7 linked regions of the Kluyveromyces lactis genome follow. The protein of the gene in region 1 binds, or shares a complex with, the protein of each later gene. Links are inferred from orthologs where the notes say so. Each region holds a gene or a part of one and is shown in the gene's direction. Other genes may lie near its edges. The genes, in order: EAF3, EAF1, EAF7, ESA1, EAF6, YNG2 and RPD3.

What was found.
Region 2: EAF3 (region 1) and EAF1 share a complex: the UniProt entries of both Saccharomyces cerevisiae proteins name them as parts of the nuA4 histone acetyltransferase complex. The link is inferred for Kluyveromyces lactis from reciprocal best matches to the Saccharomyces cerevisiae genes EAF3 and EAF1.
Region 3: EAF3 (region 1) and EAF7 share a complex: the UniProt entries of both Saccharomyces cerevisiae proteins name them as parts of the nuA4 histone acetyltransferase complex. The link is inferred for Kluyveromyces lactis from reciprocal best matches to the Saccharomyces cerevisiae genes EAF3 and EAF7.
Region 4: EAF3 (region 1) and ESA1 share a complex: the UniProt entries of both Saccharomyces cerevisiae proteins name them as parts of the nuA4 histone acetyltransferase complex. The link is inferred for Kluyveromyces lactis from reciprocal best matches to the Saccharomyces cerevisiae genes EAF3 and ESA1.
Region 5: EAF3 (region 1) and EAF6 share a complex: the UniProt entries of both Saccharomyces cerevisiae proteins name them as parts of the nuA4 histone acetyltransferase complex. The link is inferred for Kluyveromyces lactis from reciprocal best matches to the Saccharomyces cerevisiae genes EAF3 and EAF6.
Region 6: EAF3 (region 1) and YNG2 share a complex: the UniProt entries of both Saccharomyces cerevisiae proteins name them as parts of the nuA4 histone acetyltransferase complex. The link is inferred for Kluyveromyces lactis from reciprocal best matches to the Saccharomyces cerevisiae genes EAF3 and YNG2.
Region 7: the proteins of EAF3 (region 1) and RPD3 are in contact, whole or in part, in a cryo-EM structure (PDB 7YI3), measured with the Saccharomyces cerevisiae proteins. The link is inferred for Kluyveromyces lactis from reciprocal best matches to the Saccharomyces cerevisiae genes EAF3 and RPD3. Residues at the interface, in NP_015348.1 of Saccharomyces cerevisiae: Leu304, Asp307, Ser392, Gln393, Gly396, Val397, Met401; in NP_014069.1 of Saccharomyces cerevisiae: Arg99, Val102, Lys103, Ser155, Glu156.

The regions. Positions count from the first base shown.
Region 1 is NC_006041.1:1,191,102-1,194,102, reverse strand, and holds EAF3 (Eaf3p), read left to right. Parts: upstream 1-1,424; coding exon 1,425-2,501; downstream 2,502-3,001. Other genes in the region: casein kinase YCK3, read right to left, coding at 1-622; KLLA0_E13487g (C2H2-type zinc finger protein), read left to right, coding at 2,796-3,001. UniProt on the Saccharomyces cerevisiae protein: Component of the NuA4 histone acetyltransferase complex which is involved in transcriptional activation of selected genes principally by acetylation of nucleosomal histone H4 and H2A. The NuA4 complex is also involved in DNA repair.
Region 2 is NC_006041.1:1,912,891-1,917,048, forward strand, and holds the start of EAF1 (Eaf1p), read left to right. Parts: upstream 1-1,358; coding exon 1,359-4,158. Other genes in the region: protein-transporting protein BCP1, read left to right, coding at 41-859. UniProt on the Saccharomyces cerevisiae protein: Component of the NuA4 histone acetyltransferase complex which is involved in transcriptional activation of selected genes principally by acetylation of nucleosomal histone H4 and H2A. The NuA4 complex is also involved in DNA repair.
Region 3 is NC_006037.1:1,007,818-1,010,668, forward strand, and holds EAF7 (Eaf7p), read left to right. Parts: upstream 1-1,142; coding exon 1,143-2,351; downstream 2,352-2,851. Other genes in the region: NAM9 (mitochondrial 37S ribosomal protein uS4m), read right to left, coding at 1-751; peptidylprolyl isomerase FPR1, read right to left, coding at 2,650-2,851. UniProt on the Saccharomyces cerevisiae protein: Component of the NuA4 histone acetyltransferase complex which is involved in transcriptional activation of selected genes principally by acetylation of nucleosomal histone H4 and H2A. The NuA4 complex is also involved in DNA repair.
Region 4 is NC_006042.1:1,032,524-1,035,492, reverse strand, and holds ESA1 (NuA4 histone acetyltransferase complex catalytic subunit ESA1), read left to right. Parts: upstream 1-1,149; coding exon 1,150-2,469; downstream 2,470-2,969. Other genes in the region: mRNA splicing protein PRP46, read left to right, coding at 1-785; peptidylprolyl isomerase RRD2, read right to left, coding at 2,572-2,969. UniProt on the Saccharomyces cerevisiae protein: Catalytic component of the NuA4 histone acetyltransferase (HAT), a multiprotein complex involved in epigenetic transcriptional activation of selected genes principally by acetylation of nucleosomal histones H4, H3, H2B, H2A and H2A variant H2A.Z.
Region 5 is NC_006041.1:567,752-569,923, forward strand, and holds EAF6 (Eaf6p), read left to right. Parts: upstream 1-1,324; coding exon 1,325-1,672; downstream 1,673-2,172. Other genes in the region: ARP7 (Arp7p), read right to left, coding at 1-874. UniProt on the Saccharomyces cerevisiae protein: Component of the NuA4 histone acetyltransferase complex which is involved in transcriptional activation of selected genes principally by acetylation of nucleosomal histone H4 and H2A. The NuA4 complex is also involved in DNA repair.
Region 6 is NC_006037.1:630,072-632,793, reverse strand, and holds YNG2 (histone acetyltransferase YNG2), read left to right. Parts: upstream 1-1,334; coding exon 1,335-2,222; downstream 2,223-2,722. Other genes in the region: rRNA-processing protein FCF1, read left to right, coding at 1-271; KLLA0_A06996g (DUF4112 domain-containing protein), read right to left, coding at 384-995; KLLA0_A06952g (uncharacterized protein), read left to right, coding at 2,471-2,722. UniProt on the Saccharomyces cerevisiae protein: Component of the NuA4 histone acetyltransferase complex which is involved in transcriptional activation of selected genes principally by acetylation of nucleosomal histone H4 and H2A. The NuA4 complex is also involved in DNA repair.
Region 7 is NC_006041.1:185,677-188,960, reverse strand, and holds RPD3 (histone deacetylase RPD3), read left to right. Parts: upstream 1-1,485; coding exon 1,486-2,784; downstream 2,785-3,284. Other genes in the region: PEX6 (AAA family ATPase peroxin 6), read left to right, coding at 1-1,147; lumazine synthase RIB4, read left to right, coding at 3,270-3,284. UniProt on the Saccharomyces cerevisiae protein: Catalytic component of the RPD3 histone deacetylase (HDAC) complexes RPD3C(L) and RPD3C(S) responsible for the deacetylation of lysine residues on the N-terminal part of the core histones (H2A, H2B, H3 and H4).

The DNA.
Region 1 (3,001 bases):
TCGACATGTACCGCGCAGTCCCGCTCAAAGATTTACGCTCTCTATATGGTATATGTTGTTTTGTGTTTGGGTCCCTAAACTGCTTTGCCATTCCGAAATCAACCACGTATATTAGGTTTGCGTCACCACCACTGCTTGTGGCACACGACTTAACCACTGACCCATCCGATAACTCCCGTTGAAACTCAGATATCAAAAAGTTATCCGGCTTAATGTCCCGATATATCAAATCATGCTCGTGAATAGAACGTACTCTATCAATCATCTGTTTCGCCAACATTGCTGTCGTCTTTACGGAAAATTTTCGACTACACCATTCAAATAAATCTTCTAACGACGGACCCAACAAATCGATGATCAAAATGTTATGAATCCCCTCTTGACTGAAATAATACGCATGAGGAATTCCTCTCACATCATTCAATATCCTATATGCGCGAAACTCATCCCGTAACTGTGGTGAGTCAGACCGTCTGGGTTCAAACTTTATAGCAACAGGGTTCTTCGACCCACCATTTAGAATGTTTTCACCTTCAAAGATTATTCCAAACGAACCTTCCCCAATCTTAGGACCAACAGCATAGTGAATTCCTACCACATGCTGGGACGAACGTTTAGACATTGCAAAAGCACCGACTCTGGGTTTTATCAAGTCCTATCGGGAAACAAAAAAATACAATACTAGGAAATGTGGGAAACCTTTCCTTTCTCTCTTGCTTCGAATAAAATAGTTCAGTAGCCACCACTCAAATAACGTCTCATCGACTCAGAATACCAATACAGATGTTTGTCCGCGTGTAAAAGATCGTCCTTGCCAGTCAGAACCGTTGTGGTTTGCTTCTTTGGTCACTGTGATAAAAGGCTGTTTCTTTCAAATTTGTTTTTGTTTCATCAACTTTTTTTTTTCTTTACTTTGGCATTAAAGGTCAGAACAGCATTATTAGGAGAGCTTTGCAGACCTTGTGTGATGGTAAGAGGTGGATATGCGACGTGATTAGTGGCGTTGTGGTGCTGGAATTGGTGTTGAAGGGTGGCCAAGACTTTATGAATTGATACTAGTTTGACTCTAGTGCTTTGAGGCAATACTTGGAGATATCAGGTCACTTCCAATGTCATATCATATCACGTGAGTTGTCACGTGATCAGAATTTCCCACTTCCTTCTTCTTGGAAAGTACTGCATTCCTTCCAAGTAGCTGCGGTTTATATACCATTACTATCAAGTGCTCACCTAGTGTTATCTACTGTTTCTATACTGTCCGTTTTCCCATGTTTCTTCACGTAAAATTCAAATGCCAAATCTTACGTTAAAGCTACCATCTAGCACTTTCACGAAACAGAAGTTACACATAGTATTTGAACCTGCTACGCTGGTCTTTCTCCAAAATTTAATTGTCCCAGGGGAACTTTCAGTAGCTGTTGATCATGGCAATTGTTCTAGATGGGAAATGTTTGTGTTATCACGGACCTTTGCTCTATGAAGCCAAAGTATTACGAGTTTACGATGAAAAGAATCAGACTATTACATCAAAGGACTACAAAGACGTGAGTATTGACGATGAAAAAGTAGAATTTGATCGTCCGCCGGAACATATGAGACAGGGCCAATGCTATTTTGTGCATTACCAGGGCTGGAAGTCGAGTTGGGACGAATGGGTTGGTTTAGACCGAATCAGACCGTATAACGATGAGAATTTGGAATTGAAGAAGTCGTTGGTGGAAAAGGCTCGAGAGTTGAAGAACAATGGTGGGAAGAAGAAATCAGGATCACGGCCTGTTGGCAGGCCTAGTAAGGTTGAGAAGGGCAAAAAGGCGGCCAGCCGTACCTCAAATAGTGGCAGTGGTACTAATACTTCGGCAAGTTCGACTTCCGCTTCTAATCCAGCCTCATCTTCATCTTCTGGTACAACAGCAGCAGCTTCCAGCTCTGACAAATCCGACCGTAAGAAGGCAACCCCAGTACTAAACAAAAGATCACACCCTAAGATACACATAAAAGTCCCTATCTCGCTTCGTTCTGTGCTTGTAGACGACTGGGAAAACGTCACAAAAGACAGAAAGCTAGTACAACTACCCAGCGAACGGCCAATCGAACATATCTTGTCCCAGTTCTATGCAGATACTAGCAATTCGACCTCCTCAGTGGTAGAACAAGCTCAACTCTCAGAATTTCTGCAGGGAATAAAACTCTACTTCAACTTATCCCTGGGGAAATTACTCTTGTACCGTCTAGAAAGAATCCAATATGCAGAACTACTGAAAGCACACTCGGAGAAACAGTACACTGAAATTTACGGAATTATCCATCTACTAAGACTAGTCACTTTACTCCCCGAAATGATGGAATCAAGCAACGTCGATGACCAAACTGCCAAGATCCTAGTGAAACAGTGCGACATTTTACTCGAATGGATCGCCATAAACATCGCGAGGAAAAACTTCCCAGTAGATCCCTACATAAACACGTCCTCCCAATACGAGGGGGTCGCACTAAGCATGTAATATATCTCTACCACATCTCCAGACCCCACCACATACACCGTTATATATATATATATCCCCCAAAACCCTTTTTTCGGGGACCCCAGAAATATTATTTCCGGGCCGTGATTATAAGCGATCAACATCTGAAAAACAGTTTCGATTCGACCGTACTCATCATAGCATAACAATCACAAGACATCATAAATATACTGTTCGTTATCCTTAAATCATCAGCTGTCGGAGCCTCGGAGTAAGCAGTGTACTTCAGTATCTATTGATATATTTACGCTGTACAGCAGACGGTGGTAGAAAATGATGGGTTCTGAGAGTAAGGAAGCGTCGGAGGAAAAAGTAGGCGGCAGATACGTTTGTCCTCATCCAGATTGTGAGAAGACCTTCTCACGGTATGAGCATTTACAGAGGCATAAGCTTAACCACTGGCCGAAGCAGATATTTCGGTGTGAATATGTTTATCCTGACGATGGGATAGTTTGCAACCGGACTTTCGTTCGGAAGGA
Region 2 (4,158 bases), about 720 kb from region 1:
GCTTTATTAAACCAGCAACAACACTCTATTTTAGTCTGCAATGGTCCAGGTTGTTAAATTAAGTGCATTATCCAAGAAACGTGCAGTCGATGAGGAATCTGATCTTGACATATCAAGTACAGACTCAAATATTTCAGACCAAGAAAACGGTCAAGAGGAACAAGAAATCATCAACATCGATTTTGATTTCTTCAATGGTAATCCCGACGTTGATTTCCATGCTTTGAAGAATCTGATGCGTCAGTTGTTTGGACCACAGGAATCGAACAGAATTCAACTAAGTGAATTGGCAAATTTAATCTTGGACTCACCAACTACTACCATCAAAACCGATGGTAAGGAGTCTGACCCATACTGTTTCCTATCATTTATCGATTACAAGGCCAACAAAGATAGTGATTATGCCAAATATCTTCGTAAAGTTGACCCCAAGCTAGCTACTTTCCTACAAACTATAGATCAATCGGAGAAGACTTGTTCGTTAGTCTTGAGTGAAAGATTGATTAATATGCCACCAGAAGTTGTGCCGCCATTGTACACTATCACATTAGAAGATGTGAAGCTTGCGCTTGGGGATGATAAAAACTATGATTTCTACCTAATCGTTTCAAGGAAGTACGAAGTGAATTTTGATATGGACGAAGACGATCTAACATCGAACCAAGCTGTCCGCAAGAAGGTAAGACAAACAAACGAAGTAGACTATTTCCATGAAGAAGATCGTTTCCTTGAAAAGCTAGCCAAAGTCCATGTGGATTCCGAGGCGAGAAAGGGTCTTATTACATCGTACATGGTTTTGGACCATGCTGGACTAATTAAATCCATCGAAGATCTAGATGCGGCCATCAAGACCTGGTGAGTGATGTAAATGTTCAGTAGTTACATTGAGGAAGGTGATGATGGTATGTGGATTAATCCCGTTCTGGGAACCCAACAATTAACGCACGTGACCTGATCTTTAGTTACCCTCCTTACATGATTTCGGCCTCCCAAAAGAAAAAAAAATCTTTCAAGGAACAAAAAAATTGCTGAACAACATGAAATACGTACTTATATAGTAGAAATCGAGAAAACAAGCCGTAATACGGTAACAGAACAGGACCGTGAGAACACTATTCGACTCAGTTTCAAAAGTACCTGACACAGAAAAGCCTTGTTTGGTTGGACGATCCTGTTGTTTGTACAGAAGCGTGCTGTTTCCGAGACAAGCCCTCGCTAAAAGAAAAATCAGAGGACCCAGTTTCCTTTTTTTTTTTTTGGATATTTTCCTATCACTTGCCATTCAGACCGAAAGTTATATTTTTTCAACGTGACAGATATTCACAGAACATCTAATAGAAAGTAAGGATTTCAAGGCGATGAGCAGTGCAAGCAAAGGGAATGCTACTGGAAGTAAGAGCCCAGAGCAGCTCTTAGAGGAGAGACGGCACTTGCTAGTACAATTGTACTGTATCTCACAAATTACCGAGTTAAAAAACGTGGAGAATCATGAGAGAATAGGGAAGGAGATAGAAAAGTTTTTAGATCAACATACCTTGATCAAGGACAAGCCTATAGATATTAATGCATTGCCTAAGTTTAGGCCGAGAGACGTGTCGTCAGATAGGAAGCTGAATAACAGGAGTAAGAGTTCTTCACCGTCAGAAGTGAAACGAGAATTGAAGAAACAGCGGTCGAAAGACGTGTCGCCAAGTGGAAGCGAGGAACATGATGTGGATACGCAGACACTCCCGCAGTCTCAAACAAGGGTAGTTCCACGAGTTCAGTCACAGCAGTCAATTCAGCAAAGTTCAAGGCAATCTATGGTGCAAGCGCAGTCATCTCGACAGCTGCAGCAGCAACAACTGCAAAAGCAGCGATCGGTGTCTCCCACACAGAAGCTGCCGATAACACATAATAATGTTCCTCCTGTGGTAGTTCAGGCACATATGGAACCGAAATCTGTCCAATATCCGGAGACCCAATCAAAGCCAAGTACTTCTGGAAAGCGTTTGTTAGATGAGGAACAACAAGATATTTCCGAAAATCAAATAAGTAAAAGGCAACGGCTTGATAGTGGAAACCTATCTAATTCTACCGCTGCACGTAACGCTGCAACAATGGAAATTCCGCCTCATCCTTATTCTCAGATGATAGACATCTCACAATTGCATGCTGACCCAACACCAATTGGGGTGAAAGAACCTCAACCCTATATTATAGAATCTATTATCAACAATGTATCAAAGGAAGAGCGTAAGACGTTTTTCGAAGATGACATAAATGTGAAAGAGGCGGTATACATGATTACGAAAGAGAACGCGCCAACCAAGTTGGCAAAGGGTATGCCCATTCAAGAAATCAAATACTTATCCCAGACTTTGCCCTTGCTGAGATTGATACCACAATCTCAAAAAGCATTGACGACTGATCTGATTAATACTGCATTGAATGAAAGACGAATCACTGTAGTAGCATCAAGGATAGAGGAATTGAGAAGGCTGAATCTCTGGTCACTTAGACAACCAAGAAAATTTATCGATCCCGTTACCGCTTCACAACCTGTAACTCATCATAATGTGTTGATTGAAGAAGCAAAATGGATGCGTGAAGACTTCCGTGAATCGTTGAATTATAAGATAGCCATGTGCACTCAAATGGCACAGGCAGTTATGGAATTTTGGACTTATGGTAAAGTATGCTGTATCAATTGTAAAAGTATTCCACCGCCATCAAAGGACATAGAAGATATTGCTTCCTCCCAAGATATGGGAACAAAAATCAGTACAGTTGAGCCAGAACAAAAAGATAAAGAATCAAACACAAGTCCTGATCAATCCAACGATGATGGGTCTTCTAAAATTGCTGAAGATGTGGAGATGTCAGAGGATGGTGTAAAATCAAGTACCGGTTTAACTGATGGGAGTGAAGCGGTGGAAGAGAAGTCTGAAAATGGTATCAAAGAGGGGGACAAGGAAACTGATAAAAACTCATCTGAAGAGCCTACCATAGACATACAAAAGTTACTAAAGAGAGTTAACCCCAAAGATGAAATCGTCGCTCCATCTCTTCCGGTTACCTCCATGGAAGTTTATTTAGCTAAGAAATCATCCTCTCCCTTCAGGAATTACATTGATATAAAGGAATTATCAACACTGGGAGCAGCCATTTCAAACTCACTCCCTTTGTATGGTCTTTTGGACGAAAAGAATCTCGATTCTAGCAGACCATTGCCCTTTGAACCGGTTTCAAAGGCAATTTCTCCTCTTGACGAGGACCATTTCATGAAATTAGTAGAAAAGCAATTTGTTGACGAAGAACCATCTCTAGTTCCTTTATCAAAACGACGTGGTATGTTTTATGGAAATAGACGTAGCCATTATCTTCGCCCTCCTAATGCGCCATCATTACGCTATTTGAAATTTCGTACACCCACCATCTGGTTACCTGAAGATGATCAGGAGCTTGTCAAAAATATAAACCAGTATGCCTATAACTGGGACCTCATTAGTTCTCAGATGTCCAATCATCACAAAAGAGAATATGTTTCAAACATCGAACGTAGAACCCCTTGGCAATGCTTTGAGCGGTTCGTTCAACTAAACGAAAAGTTCAACATTGCAGATATGAAGGGTCCAAAGGCTCATAATGCACAAATATGGTTGTACGAAGCTCATAAATTACAGCAGCAGCAAAAAAGGAGAATATCTCCCCTTGGTGTGGGATCGGAATCCATACAACGAGGACATAGGCGTTTACGCTGGGCAAGTATGTTTGAGGCAATGAGAAAGTGCATTAAAAAAAGAGAAAACGCACCCAGACCAAATCCTTCGCAGCCGCGTAAACCTTTTGATGTTAAGAATATGAGTGTTCCAACCCCTCAAGAAATGTCAGACTTAAAAGCTCAGCGTGATGAGGCCTTGAGAAGGGATATGCAAATAAAACGTGCTGCCAAACAAAGGATGCAGATGGCTCAATTGCAGCAAGGAAAGCTTCCTCTCACTACAGCATCAAGTCCGAATTTGCCTATGGCAAATAATCCTAACTCAAAGGATTCAAGAATTAGGTCTAAGCAGTCCACTCCCCAGAGTGCACCACCACTAGGTGAAAAAGAAAAGGTTACAACTCAAACTCCCACACAGAGAAATACGAAACCGGCTAATAAACGTGAAATCATTG
Region 3 (2,851 bases), on another chromosome or scaffold:
TAGAAAAGATCTTAGCTAACAAATACTCGTTACTGGTTTGGTCTAATTCTTTCCTCATTTGAATGTGCATGGTTTTGTTGTAGTTTTCGAGGAAGGATAAAAATTCCTGTTTCTTTGGATCGTTACTATCCATAGTTCTTAGTTTTTCGATCTTTTCATCCCAGAACTTTCTAGGATTCTTTCTAGCCTCTAGAATATATTTGTTCCATAGGAAAATTTGGGTATTATCCACTTTCAAAGCTTCCTTCAAGCTAGGTTTCTTGGCACCAAGAGCTTGTAGCACTTTTTCGGGTCTGACGTTGAAAACATCACCAGCTTTCAAGGCATATCCCGGAGAAGTAATCTTTACACCATTCACATGGACGTTGCCATGTAAAATAAACTGACGAGCTTGTCTCACTGACGAGGCAAACATAGCTCTAAACAAAGCAAAGTCTAGCCTTTTCTCTAGTACAGCGTATGTTTGTAATAGAATGGGCGTCGGTTCGATATCACCACCCCTTAGAGAAGCATCTAATTGAGCCACAGAGTTTAGCTGAGGCTCGAAAACAGACTGCCACCTACTCTCTGTTAAATGTTCGCCATGGTAGGCACGAGTTTCCTGTTTAGAAGTCCATTTCTGTTGGTATAGTGTTTTCGATCTAAAACTGACCTGAGATTTCTTATACAAGTTGAACAAATTGTACTTGTTAAAAGAGGTACGAACCTTCCCTCTGGACAAAGAGTTCAGAAGTACAGCTTTCCTAGGCATTGCTGGTCTTTTTCTTCACAATGTATTGACAAAACTAACCAGAATTGACTGCTTACGGACTCTTCGAAATGGAAATACATTGCATATCCGAACTACCTGCATAATATTTTTCAATCAAACGCTATCTAATGCTTGAAGCTTTCCGATATTGAAAAATTTTTAGAGGAATTTCGTGACATATGATATCAAATATTAGCATTCATAGTTTAGAAAGATGAGAAACACCATAGAACCATATTGAGATGGACTGGCGAAGATGGTATCAAGCCTCATACGATCTGCTTTATCAGCGATCTTGATAGGAACTTTATTATATCAATTGCAAGAACGTTCTTTTGGTGTATAAGGTTGTGATACTTCAGATAAAAGTAATACGATACGGTTCACTGCGATGTCCGCTGTAAAGATAGAATCACCTAGAGGGCAAACATGGAGTAAAGTGGAGGAAATAAGGCTGTTTAAATGGATGATGCTGTTCAAACCTGCAGGAATACATAAACACTTCCATATGGTGTGTTTGCTTGAGCGATTGAACAAGCCAGATCAGTATCCAATCAAACTTTTGCAAAGCGATAAAGGCAGCTCAGATAAAGTGTTTTCTGGGGAGGACGTTTGGGAACAATTGAGTCGGTACTATAATTTAGAGAAGGCAGATGAAGTAGAGAACCAGCCATACCCTGAATTTTATAATGATGACGGACCAACCGAAACTACAAACAAAAAGACAGAAGGGGACGCTCAACTAGATAATGATGATGACAGTGACAATGATGTTGACAATTGTGACGAGCTTAAGAGAAATATAATACCATTACAAAATAGACTCCAGCAAGAGACGGAATTTGAACTATCGTGGGAAGATTATGGAGAACTTATGTTAGAACATGCTAGGGATCATGAGGTGGAAGATATTAAGCAAGAGGAGACCGCTTCTGCGGATGACAAGGCAAAACTGAAGGGTGCGGAATCACAGGATACGCAAGTAGAACAAGAGTCAGAAGAGCCACGGGAACGAGAAAAGGATATCGATGAAAAGGATACTGAGCAAAATAATGTACAGGCGAAACAAGAAATGGCGACCACTCCGCCAGTCAGTGTTGGAGAATCTGTGAGCGAACTGGCGAATGAACCTGTCGATGAACCTGTCGATGCTCATAAGAAACCAAGGACAAGACGCTCTACAAGGTTGACACGTTCACAAAAGCGAGGCATTGATGACGAAAGTGAAAACAAAGAAGACCAACCCCATGGCGGAAACACCGATGAAAAGGAAGATGTCGAACACGATACAGAAGGGAGATCTGGTAGCGAAAAAGAATCGACTGCTGATGCCGCAGATACTACAGCTACAAAACAAGTCACATTTGCTGATGAATCTGAAGGTGCTGCCAAGGAATCAGCTAATTCGCCGACAGGGAAAGCAGAAGAGAACGAAACGGAATCATCTCAACAGCCGCGCCCTAAGAAACAAAAAGTTGCCGCTGCGGAGGAAGTTCCTGAAGATCTTGCCGACGTGGATTCTCCAGCTAGGAGAACAAGAAGAAAATCCATAACAAAACCAACTACAAGGCTCTCGAGCAGGCTTAGAAGCAGGAAGTAGTTGTTCTTGATTGTTTTTTCAATAATGCAATAACAACATAATATAGCTAATGGTTTATATTATAGGCATTTCGTTGATGTACAAAAATTGAATGTTAAAATGGAAGCATACAAACACTACGGCTACAATTTGATAGCAATTCCCATGTTGAAAGGTTGATGAGAAGGTACGGAAAGATGTAAAGCTATAATAATAATAATGGATGGGACCAATTGGAAGGAATCAAGGGAGAAACCAAAGAAAAAATGTGAAGGAAATTAATAGTATGTGTTTTATTCAGAAGAATGACATTATACATCTAGTTAATCTTCAACAATTCAACATCAAAGACTAAAGTAGCATTTGGTGGGATCAAACCTGGGAAACCACGTGGACCATAAGCGTATGGGCCTGGGATAGTTAGTCTTGCCTTTTCACCAACGGACAACTTTGGAATAGCAGCATCCCAACCCTTGATAACTTGACCTACACCAATGTTACATTGGAATGGAGAACCTCTA
Region 4 (2,969 bases), on another chromosome or scaffold:
CAAAGAGACATCCTTATATGTTCTCAGCAAGCGAAGATAAACTTGTAAAATGTTGGGATCTAGAAAGAAATACTGCAATTAGGGATTTTCACGGTCATTTATCTGGCGTGCATACCGTTGATGTTCATCCGAGCCTTGATATAATAGCTACTGCTGGTCGTGATGCTGTAGTAAGGTTGTGGGATATACGATCAAGATCTGAGATAATGGTTCTGCCCGGTCATAAAAGCCCTATAAATAAAGTCAAATGCCTTCCCGTTGACCCACAAATAATCAGTTGTTCCGGGGATGCAACAGTTAGACTTTGGGATATCATTGCAGGGAAGGCAAGCAAAGTTTTAACGCACCATAGTAGAAACATCAGAGACTTGACGCTACACCCAGCAGAGTTTAGCTTTGCCAGTGTATCTACGAACGACGTCAGATCCTGGAAATTGCCCGAAGGACAGCTATTAACCAACTTTCAATCCCAGAACACTGGGATTTTGAATACCGTATCAATTAATCACGATAATGTACTATTAGCTGGTGGAGATGACGGTACTTTGTGCTTTTACGATTACAAAACAGGACACAAATACCAAAGTATGATGACAACTGAAGTTGCTGGCTCACTTGAAAGTGAGCGATCGATTTTATGCAGCACCTTTGATGTCACAGGAACAAGACTCATCACAGGGGAAGGAGACAAAAGCATCAAAATATGGAAGCAAGTCCCTGATGCTACAGAAGATACATTCCCTGGCTTGCCGTGGAATCCCACGTTAATATCTCAAAGATTCTAATCTAGCTGGTGTCTACTTGCAGCGACTTATGTAGAAGTTTGTAGTTTAACTCTATTAGGTCCCCGTTTTCCATCTATCTAGAATATTTCAGTCTGCATTAATTGCGAGGTTTGCTCTAACTGTCATATGATTACAGTCACGTAGTCAAGGACAGGGAACGTCAGGTTTTCTTGTATGTTTGTTCAAGCATGGTGTTTGCTTTAATACGGTAATCTGAATAAATTAACTGAAATTTAGCATCTTCAAAATATTTGAACTTATTAGTTACGCAATAAACCAAATCCAAAAACAGAGCACCTCTGTAAGAGGAACTAGTAAGGCAAGGCAACTGTTTAACAAATATTTTGGGCGAGCTCGCTAATACATGAGTCACGGCGAAGAAAAGGAACCTGGGATTCCCCAGAAGGTTGACAGCATCGATGAGATTTTCGTTGGATGCAAGTCATGGGTACTAAAAGATGGTCAAGATCGTCTTGCTGAAATTCTATCCATTAACAGCAGAAGAGATCCACCTAAGTTCTACGTGCATTATGAAGACTTCAATAAACGTCTAGATGAATGGATCACTGCTGATAGGTTACAGATAGACAAGGAAGTCATTTTTCCTAGGCCTAAAGAGCTTGAAGAGAAGAAAGACTCGAAGAAAAAGAAGCAGCAACAGAATAAAAGTGCTACACCACAAGCAGCCAGTGCTACTCCGGATGGTGGGGATGTGATGGATTTGGATAATTTGAATGTACAAGGGATTCCTAATGAAGATATTTCCAGAGAAGATGAAATAAAGAAGCTTCGTACATCGGGGTCAATGACACAGAATCAGAATGAGGTGGCTAGAGTTAGAAATTTGAACAAGGTGATTATGGGCAAATATGAAATAGAGCCATGGTACTTTTCACCTTATCCAATAGAGTTGACTGATGAGGATGTGGTATATATCGATGATTTTTCCCTACAATATTTCGGATCAAAGAAACAATATGAACGATACAGAAAGAAATGTACTCTACGACATCCTCCAGGTAACGAGATATATAGAGATGACTATGTTTCCTTCTTTGAAATTGATGGTCGGAAACAGAGGACATGGTGCCGTAATCTATGTCTTTTGTCTAAACTTTTCTTGGATCATAAAACGTTGTACTATGATGTTGATCCATTTTTATTTTACTGTATGACTAGGCGTGATGAACTAGGCCATCATATTGTCGGTTATTTCTCAAAGGAAAAGGAATCAGCTGATGCTTATAATGTGGCATGTATTTTAACACTACCTCAATATCAAAGAATGGGTTACGGTAGACTATTAATCGAGTTTTCTTATGAGTTATCTAAGAAAGAGGGTAAAGTCGGATCACCAGAAAAGCCGTTATCGGATTTGGGTTTGTTATCTTACAGAGCATACTGGGCCGACACCTTGATTAAGCTTTTGGTAGAGCACGGCCAGGAAATCACCATCGATGAAGTTAGTTCAATTTCCTCTATGACTACCACTGATATTCTTCATACTGCAAAAGCCTTAGAAATATTAAGGTTCTATCGAGGTCAGCATGTACTGTATTTGAATAGCGATGTGATGAAAAGGTACAAAAAGCTAAAGAATAATAAGAGGAGATCTATAGATCCTCAAAAATTAATCTGGACACCCCCAGTATTTACCGCTTCACAATTACGTTTCGCATGGTAAATAATGCATCGTGAATTGCGGTCTATGTTATTGTTTGTTAACGTTATGTTGGTATATATAAGGGTAGTTAAGTTTCGGTATACGCATCATATGTAATATTATTCAATCAAAAGGAAATAGTCTTACGTCTTTATTAGCCATTTGAGATGCCGCAATCGCACTAGGGACTGCAATACCGCAACAATCCGCCCAAGTACTATGACCATGCGATCCATCAGTACAGCATGAATCATCTTCATGATGATCTTGTGCGCGTGCTGATGGTTCACTAACGCCCTCGGGACATTTCAAGAAATATCCGAAATAGAAATGCTGCATGATTGGTAATTTTTGTAGAACCTCTGCCTTATACATTTTTACCATGCCTTCAGCAACTTTTGACCACCGTTTCACCCCGCTTATATCATCCAACATAGGTGAATGCCATCTCAAACTAGCTGTGGTTTTAACTTTATTAATGAATGCAATGCAGCCGAAATATAGATACCTGTCTTGGAACA
Region 5 (2,172 bases), about 620 kb from region 1:
TTTTCTCTATGTCATTGACATCTGCCATTTCTACATCTCCGTTTGCATTGTTACTTACGTGTATCACTGGCTTGAACAAGAGTTCTCCAATGGTGTATAGCTGTTTGTTAGTGAAGGTGAGAGTTTTCTTATCGAGTAGGAAATTTTTGGTCAAGTCCATTGGTGACACCATATGTTGGTAATGAGGAGCCACGTCATAATTAGCATCCAATTCAATCGGAGAAACTTGCAGCATGCTATTCTTGAAGTTGGGTAGCCATTCAGTGGCATCCCTCCAGATTTTCGTTGATTTGCCCGAATCCTGCTTCAAATATTGATCGCAGATCTGCCAGTTTAAGAATGCACCACCGATCTTGTTCTCCTTGCGGTATTGTTTGAAAAGAACACCATCAATGACAACGTCCACTTTCACTCCACTGTGGCCAATGTCCACCACAATTCCACTCGATCTTCCCTGACTCAACGTGTTGCAGACAGCCTCATTCAAAAGTTGGACCATTGGAAAACCGTACCCCAACAGTTGTTCCATAAATCTCTTACGACGCGCACTGTTTAAGTCGGAAGGTAAGACAACACATACTGGATAGTCTTCGAACTGTATGCCTAGGCTTTGAAAGATGTACTGCCATTGAGCATCCATCATATCCCAATCATTTGGAAGTCCGTTCTTATCGTACAATTGGTATATTTCAGCGCTCTCATCGTCGCAATGCTCTATCATTTCCCATTTACCGAAAACTTTAACATCCGATCCATCTCTTTTATAGGCCAAATATTGAGATGGTACAATTAACTGCGGCAAATCTTGGTTGCTGAACCCACAAATAACCCTAGTCTGCGAGATCTGTATCACCACACTCTTCATGGTCGGCATCTTGAACTTGCAATAGATATAACGTAATCACTCTATATGCACCAGAACAAAGAGAAGATCTTCAATTTTCAAAAGCAGATAAGGATTAACTTCTTCAACAGCTACCTGTTTTTGCCGATTATAACTGCTATCAATGGAAAATTATGGCTCTTAAACGGGATACTAGAGTTGATAACACTGTTTATGTTGATGTTTACATGTTGGCTTTTTTTTCGTCGGTTCTTCGAATTTCAAATTCCAAACTGAGTTCCAGTACTGTTACCCGGACTCGTCGCCAATGTTAATATTGTTTGAAAGAACGCACTACTTCAACATCCAATTTGCATATATAATAACAAGAAAGGATGAAACAGACGATCCGCTATCGAACGGATTTGAATCTGGTTTTGATTGTGTTCTACTCTATCGGTAAAGTGATTTAACATAACCTAACACTCATCTCACACAACTATGGACGAACAAAAGAAAGAATACGAGAAACTAAAGAAGAAGCTTCGAGATGCTTTAGTACAGAAGAAACAACTCGAAGCCAAGTGGAATAGTTTAGAGCAAGAGGTATACGATAAAGAAACAGAGTATCTATCACAGAAACCATCTTCCAGAATGGGGAACATTCTGCTCGGGTTTCAGGGTTTCAACAAGAGCAGTTCTGCGCAGCAGATATTGTCTGACCACTCACATTCGTCAAATGCCCAGCCATTGGACGATAATGATCGCATTTTTTCATTAAGTTCGTACCTTTTTGCAAAACAATTGGCTGCTTCCAATCATCAAGAACAAACGAAGTCCAATGATTGAACAGGAAGCTTATCTGTTTGCCCTCTTCACTGAGACATATCCAGGTCCAGGACACCGGACACAAGAGACAAGAGACAAGAGACAAGAGAAACTAAGGGAGGGGGAAGAAAAACGGTATTATTTTACCCCGCATCTATTTCTCTTGAAGCACTCTTTAAATGCTCGTGATAATTAATCACTTTGTAACATTATGTATTCTCTCTTCCTAAAGTATTTTCAATTACTTACCCTTAATTTTTGAGAGGCCTCTTTTTCTTTTCATCCGTCAGATCAACGATCATAGAATCAGTTTAATCAATAAAACTTGCGTCAAACTACTCGTAGAAGCAAAGGATTGAATCGTTTACAGATTTCCAGTCCAACCGAATTGTCCCAATGTCTTAGATGAGACTCAGGTGCTATGTAATGGTGTATGTATGTGTGGTTAGCATGAATTCTAACCTCCATTCTTGATTGTTAATTGGAGTATCACTCAGCCAATCAATTTTCAGAAACTGCCA
Region 6 (2,722 bases), on another chromosome or scaffold:
CTGTGTGATGGCTGAATTAGAGAAGTTGGGTCCCAAGTATCGTATAGCGTTGAAGCTAGCTCGTGATCCGCGAATCAAGAGGCTAAGTTGTTCGCATAAGGGTACTTATGCGGATGACTGTATTGTTCATAGAGTGTTGCAGCACAAGTGTTACATTGTTGCCACGAACGATGCTGGTTTAAAGCAGAGAGTGAGGAAAGTGCCGGGGATCCCATTGATGAGTGTTGGAGGACACTCCTATGTGATTGAGAAGCTACCGGGTGTGTTCTAGGATAATATAAAACTGGGATTTAGCATTATACATAGCGGTATGAGTATGTATATATATATATAACTTTTCTTAACAGGATAATAATTGTACATTAGCACAAACGGCTTCTCGCTTATGTCTGTTTCAAGCCTTTTACCAAGTCTGGGTCCCTTCCTGGGGAGACAGAACCTAATTCTACAGGAGATGCGGCAATGGTTTCACCACCGTATTTCTTTCTCAAGTATTGTTCCAATGCAAGTGTGTTCCTGGAATTTGCCTTATAAGCAATCCCAACGATATCACCAACAATGGGAATCAACCCTAATAGGAAATCGATACAGATGTTCCCCAAGAGCTCTGCCTGCAAGGGCACAGGCAAACCACCTTGAATCTTCTGTGCTTCATGGAACACTGTCCATGACAAGTACAAACATATTAGGTCACCGACCACTGGCAAAAGTCCAATGATACCGAGCCATCCAACTCTCATCCCAAATATCTTAAACATCATATCAAGCCTGTAAGCTCTTTTCCTAACCCGTTGCAACACTGTTCTGTCATTTAATGGGACATAATCTGGAATTGCTTTCTTTAGCTTCTTATGCACAACTTGGCTATTTCCAGTCCAAAACGACTTCTTCACAAAAGTAACTTCCTCATAGTACGGATCCTCACCCTCACCAATCTTAATGTCGCCAAATATCTTGTTGGAAATCTTGCGTAGAATAAATGAATAGAACACCATGGTTTAGATTCAAGGTAAAGTTAACAAAAGAAACTGTCGTCGCCTATAATCGTGGTAAATTCGGTCTTTAACAGAGTTCAAATAAGCTCATATGCCAGGACTAGCTTTTCTGAATAATAAATACTCCCAAAAACTAATGGAAACATGTTTGTGAAGTACCAAACCATGTCCCTTTATCATGACTTTTTCTATTTCAAAGCCTTTAAAGCCAGGGAAAGCTTTAAAGCAATCTGGCAAACAATTTTCCATTGAAATAGCAAAGATACGTATGTAAGAGAAGAAGCTGTACAAAGAACGCTAGGCAGGCGCAGTTAGCATTTTGGAAGGCTGTATGGAAGAATGAGTAGCATTAACGAACGACCACAGGACCCTTCGAGTGCGTTGGAGCAAGCTACACAGGATGTTGCGAACTTGAAATCAGAGTTCCATCATATCATGGATGAAATGCAGGTAGCAGATAAAACCCTGGTGAGCTCAAGAGAGCAGTACCTACGGGAGGATTACGTGCTTCATAAACTTGTGAAACAGCATGGTTCGTTGACCAAGGACCCTAAAGAGGGATCCATTACTGAGACGGTAGAAAAAGAGATGAAGCGATGCGGCGATTTGCAACAACAGAAATGCATATTAGCCAATACAGCATTGTATCTAGTAACGAAACATTTGAGCAAGATCAAGGCCAACATCGAGTCACTTGAGGAAGATGGGTTACTTGCACCCTTGGATGATGAGCTTTCGGATAAGAAGGCTGGATCTGTTGATTTAGGAGCTGGAATCGCTGGCCTTGGTAACGGAACGGCTGGATCAGGTTCCAGTTCTGGTAGGAAACGGCCAGCCTCTTCATCATCAGCGAACGGGAAAGGACAGAAGAGAAAACAGCAGAAGAAAGAGAGATCTAGGTCTCATCAGCGTGCAGGAACAGTGTCTCGTGACGTGAGTCCTAACGCTGGTATCGGTAGAGATCCGACTTTCGATGCTTTGGCATATAACGATGATTTGTTCAAGATGAACCAAGGCGGCGAAGAAGACGACAAGCAGTTGTACTGTTTCTGCCAAAGAGTATCATACGGTGAGATGGTGGCGTGCGATGGTCCAAACTGTAAATACGAATGGTTCCATTACAGTTGTGTCAACTTAACGGAACCTCCAAAGGGTCAGTGGTATTGTCCAGAATGTCGACTGGAAATTGCTAATCAGAAACTAAATAAGAAGAAGAAGAAGCAATGATCAACGAAGGTTGGTATGACCCATTCATGGTCTTCACATTTCTTCACTCCTGCCGCTCGTATATATATATATATATCCTCATATGTAAATATTTTCAATTCTATCATGTAATGTATTATTATAATTAGCATTTATTCGATTCTTATTCTATATTCGACTTTGACATCTTGTGCTCTTTGTGAAGAGATGCAGAAAAACAGGCGAAAGCTATCGAAATAGTGGTCTCTGAAAGCGCACCAATAGGCAACATGGCTACACTATTTGGAAAGACGTTGTCTCAGGTTCATCCGAAGCTTCGAACAAATGGTATTGGTATTGCAACTAACCATAGACGCATTTCGCTAGGGTTCGATTTAGTGAGCAGAGACAAGAAGAATCCGTTATTACGGAAGTATTTAAGGAAACGCAGACATCGTGGGTTGAGGCGAGGGTTGCATCCAGATGAGCAAGGTAGTTATCACACTTTGGATGAGGATTTTGGAAGCAGTGTTAGAGAACCG
Region 7 (3,284 bases), about 1.0 Mb from region 1:
CCAAACTCCAAAACTGAGGTCACTAATATCGCATAATGTTCCATTGCAGACAGTATCTGTTCAATCGGCTGGTTTGACTCCAATGGATATACGATCAATCGTCAAAGCTGTCAAGTACAAATGTTACCAACGTCTAAAGCAGAACGACCTTCTAATTGATATGACCGATATAACTGCAGTCATAAATATTGCAAGAGATAGATTCTCAGACTCTATCGGAGCTCCTAAAATTCCTAACGTGACTTGGGATGATATTGGTGGGATGGATGTGGTCAAAGGAGAAATCATGGATACCATAGATATGCCACTCAAGCACCCTGAACTATTTTCATCTGGTATGAAAAAGAGAAGTGGTATTCTTTTCTATGGACCTCCTGGGACTGGTAAAACCTTGTTAGCGAAGGCAATTGCGTCTAACTTCTCTTTAAATTTTTTCAGTGTTAAAGGGCCTGAACTTCTTAACATGTACATTGGTGAATCCGAGGCAAATGTTAGACGTGTCTTCCAGAAAGCAAGAGATGCTAAGCCATGTGTCATTTTTTTCGATGAACTTGATTCCGTGGCACCAAAGAGAGGAAATCAGGGAGATTCTGGGGGTGTTATGGATCGTATTGTGTCTCAACTTTTGGCAGAACTAGACGGAATGAGTTCAGGAGGAGACGGAGTGTTCGTAATTGGAGCTACGAATAGGCCAGATCTTCTTGATGAAGCATTATTACGTCCCGGTAGGTTTGACAAGATGTTATATTTGGGGATATCAGATACCGATAAAAAACAGGCAAATATCATCAAGGCTTTGACGAGAAAGTTCACACTAGAATCTGGTATCGATATACTAGATATTGCCAAAAAATGTCCGTTCAACTATACAGGTGCAGATTTCTACGCATTGTGTTCTGATGCCCTTTTAAACGCTATGACTAGAGTTGCTGGTGAAGTTGATGAAAAGTGGGAGAAGTATAACATGGAAAATAAAAAGAATATATCATTGAGGTATTGGTTTGATAACGTGGCAAACGAGAATGACTTGAAGGTCGTGGTAAAATTACAAGACTTCGAGCTTGCTCAACAGAATCTAATACCAAGTGTTTCTGAGGATGAATTAAGACATTACTTGAGATTAAAGAGTAGTTTCGAATCTCAATGATCGTTAATAAGTAATCATATCGAATATTATTATAAATCATATATAACAAATATATTAACTCATCCATGCAGGATGATCTGGTCAGTAAAAAGTTGGTCTACTTCTTAATCTTCTTCAACTCGTGTAACATGACAGATCTCTTTAAGGCTTTTCTTCTTTCTTTAGCTGCTTGGAAATTCTATATTGATGGAGACGGTGAAAAATGAAGGTAGTGATTTCTATTAAAACCTTGATTTATGTCGAAAACATACCAAGAAAGCTATATAAACAAGAGGTGAAAAATTTGTACCGGCTCTCCAACTTAGCGAAACTATTAAGATTAATTGTGCGTGGACGGTATGGTATACGAAGCTAAACCTTTTGACCCGATAACGGTGAAGGCTAACGAGAAGAAGCGAGTTGCATACTTTTATGATGCTGATGTGGGAAACTATGCTTATGGTGCAGGACATCCTATGAAACCACATAGAATAAGAATGACACATTCGTTGATTATGAATTACGGTTTGTATAAGAAGATGGAAATTTACAGGGCTAAACCTGCAACGAAACAGGAGATGTGTCAGTTCCATACCGATGAATATATTGATTTCTTGTCTCGAGTCACTCCAGATAATTTAGATATGTTCCAAAAGGAGAGTGTGAAATTCAACGTTGGAGACGATTGTCCTGTGTTTGATGGTTTGTACGAGTACTGTAGTATATCTGGAGGTGGTTCTATGGAGGGTGCAGCCAGATTAAACCGAGGCAAATGTGATGTTGCCATTAACTATGCTGGTGGTTTACATCATGCCAAAAAATCGGAAGCTTCAGGGTTCTGTTACTTGAACGATATAGTGCTAGGTATCATCGAGTTGTTAAGGTACCATCCTCGTGTTCTTTATATTGATATTGATGTGCATCACGGTGATGGTGTAGAAGAAGCTTTTTATACTACGGATCGAGTTATGACATGTTCTTTCCATAAATATGGGGAATTCTTCCCAGGTACTGGTGAATTGAGAGATACTGGTGTCGGGAAAGGTAAATACTATGCTGTGAATGTCCCATTAAGGGACGGTATTGACGATGCCACTTACAAATCGGTATTTGAACCAGTCATAGGTAAAATTATGGAATGGTACCAACCTTCTGCCGTGGTACTCCAATGCGGTGGTGACTCTTTATCCGGCGATCGTTTAGGTTGTTTCAACCTTTCAATGAAGGGTCACGCAAACTGTGTCAACTACATGAAATCGTTCGGTGTTCCTCTCATGATTGTTGGTGGTGGTGGTTATACAATGCGAAACGTGGCTCGTACATGGGCTTTCGAAACGGGTATTCTGAATAATGTGATTTTGGATGAAGAACTTCCTTACAACGATTACTACGAATATTATGGCCCTGATTACAAATTGGATGTCAGACCATCTAATATGTATAACGTCAATACACCGGAGTATTTGGATAAAGTGCTACTTAATATTTTCAGCAATCTAGAGCATACTAAATATGCCCCAAGCGTTCAACTCAATCACGTTCCTCGCGATGCGGAGGACAAAGGTGACGCCGAAGAAGATACTGCAGCTGCGAAGGACACTAGAGGAGGTTCTCAGTATGCAAGAGACATAACCATTGAGAATGCAACCGAATTTTAGCCAGAAAACAAAAACAGATGATCTTTTATTATTTACTGTATTATAATATATTTACACTTAGAAGTACTCTTCCGCATTTGCTACAGGTTTTATCGTCACTCACCTAATCACTGTTATATGTCATTCATCCGACGGTTAATATGATGCTGAATATACAGATTGGTGCCCAAGTTAGAATTGATCTAATGAGGTCAATTTTCTATCGTGTTTTCCCTCCGTCAGTATCGGTATTTGCCATAATTTTCCACGTAATACTATTCCAGTTCAGATATGACTTACATCTGCACTTCGGTTGTCAGTAACAAATCTATATATGAAAAAGATCAAAAAATGAAAATCCAGAAGCGAATGGATATTTAAAAGTTAAGATCAGATAGGTCGATTACACAAGAATAAAGCTTATCCTATTTCATATAGAGATATATATTATCTGATAGTAGATACGTTGTATCTAAACATTCAAATCACAGTTAGTAAATTTTGCAATGGCTGTTAAAGGT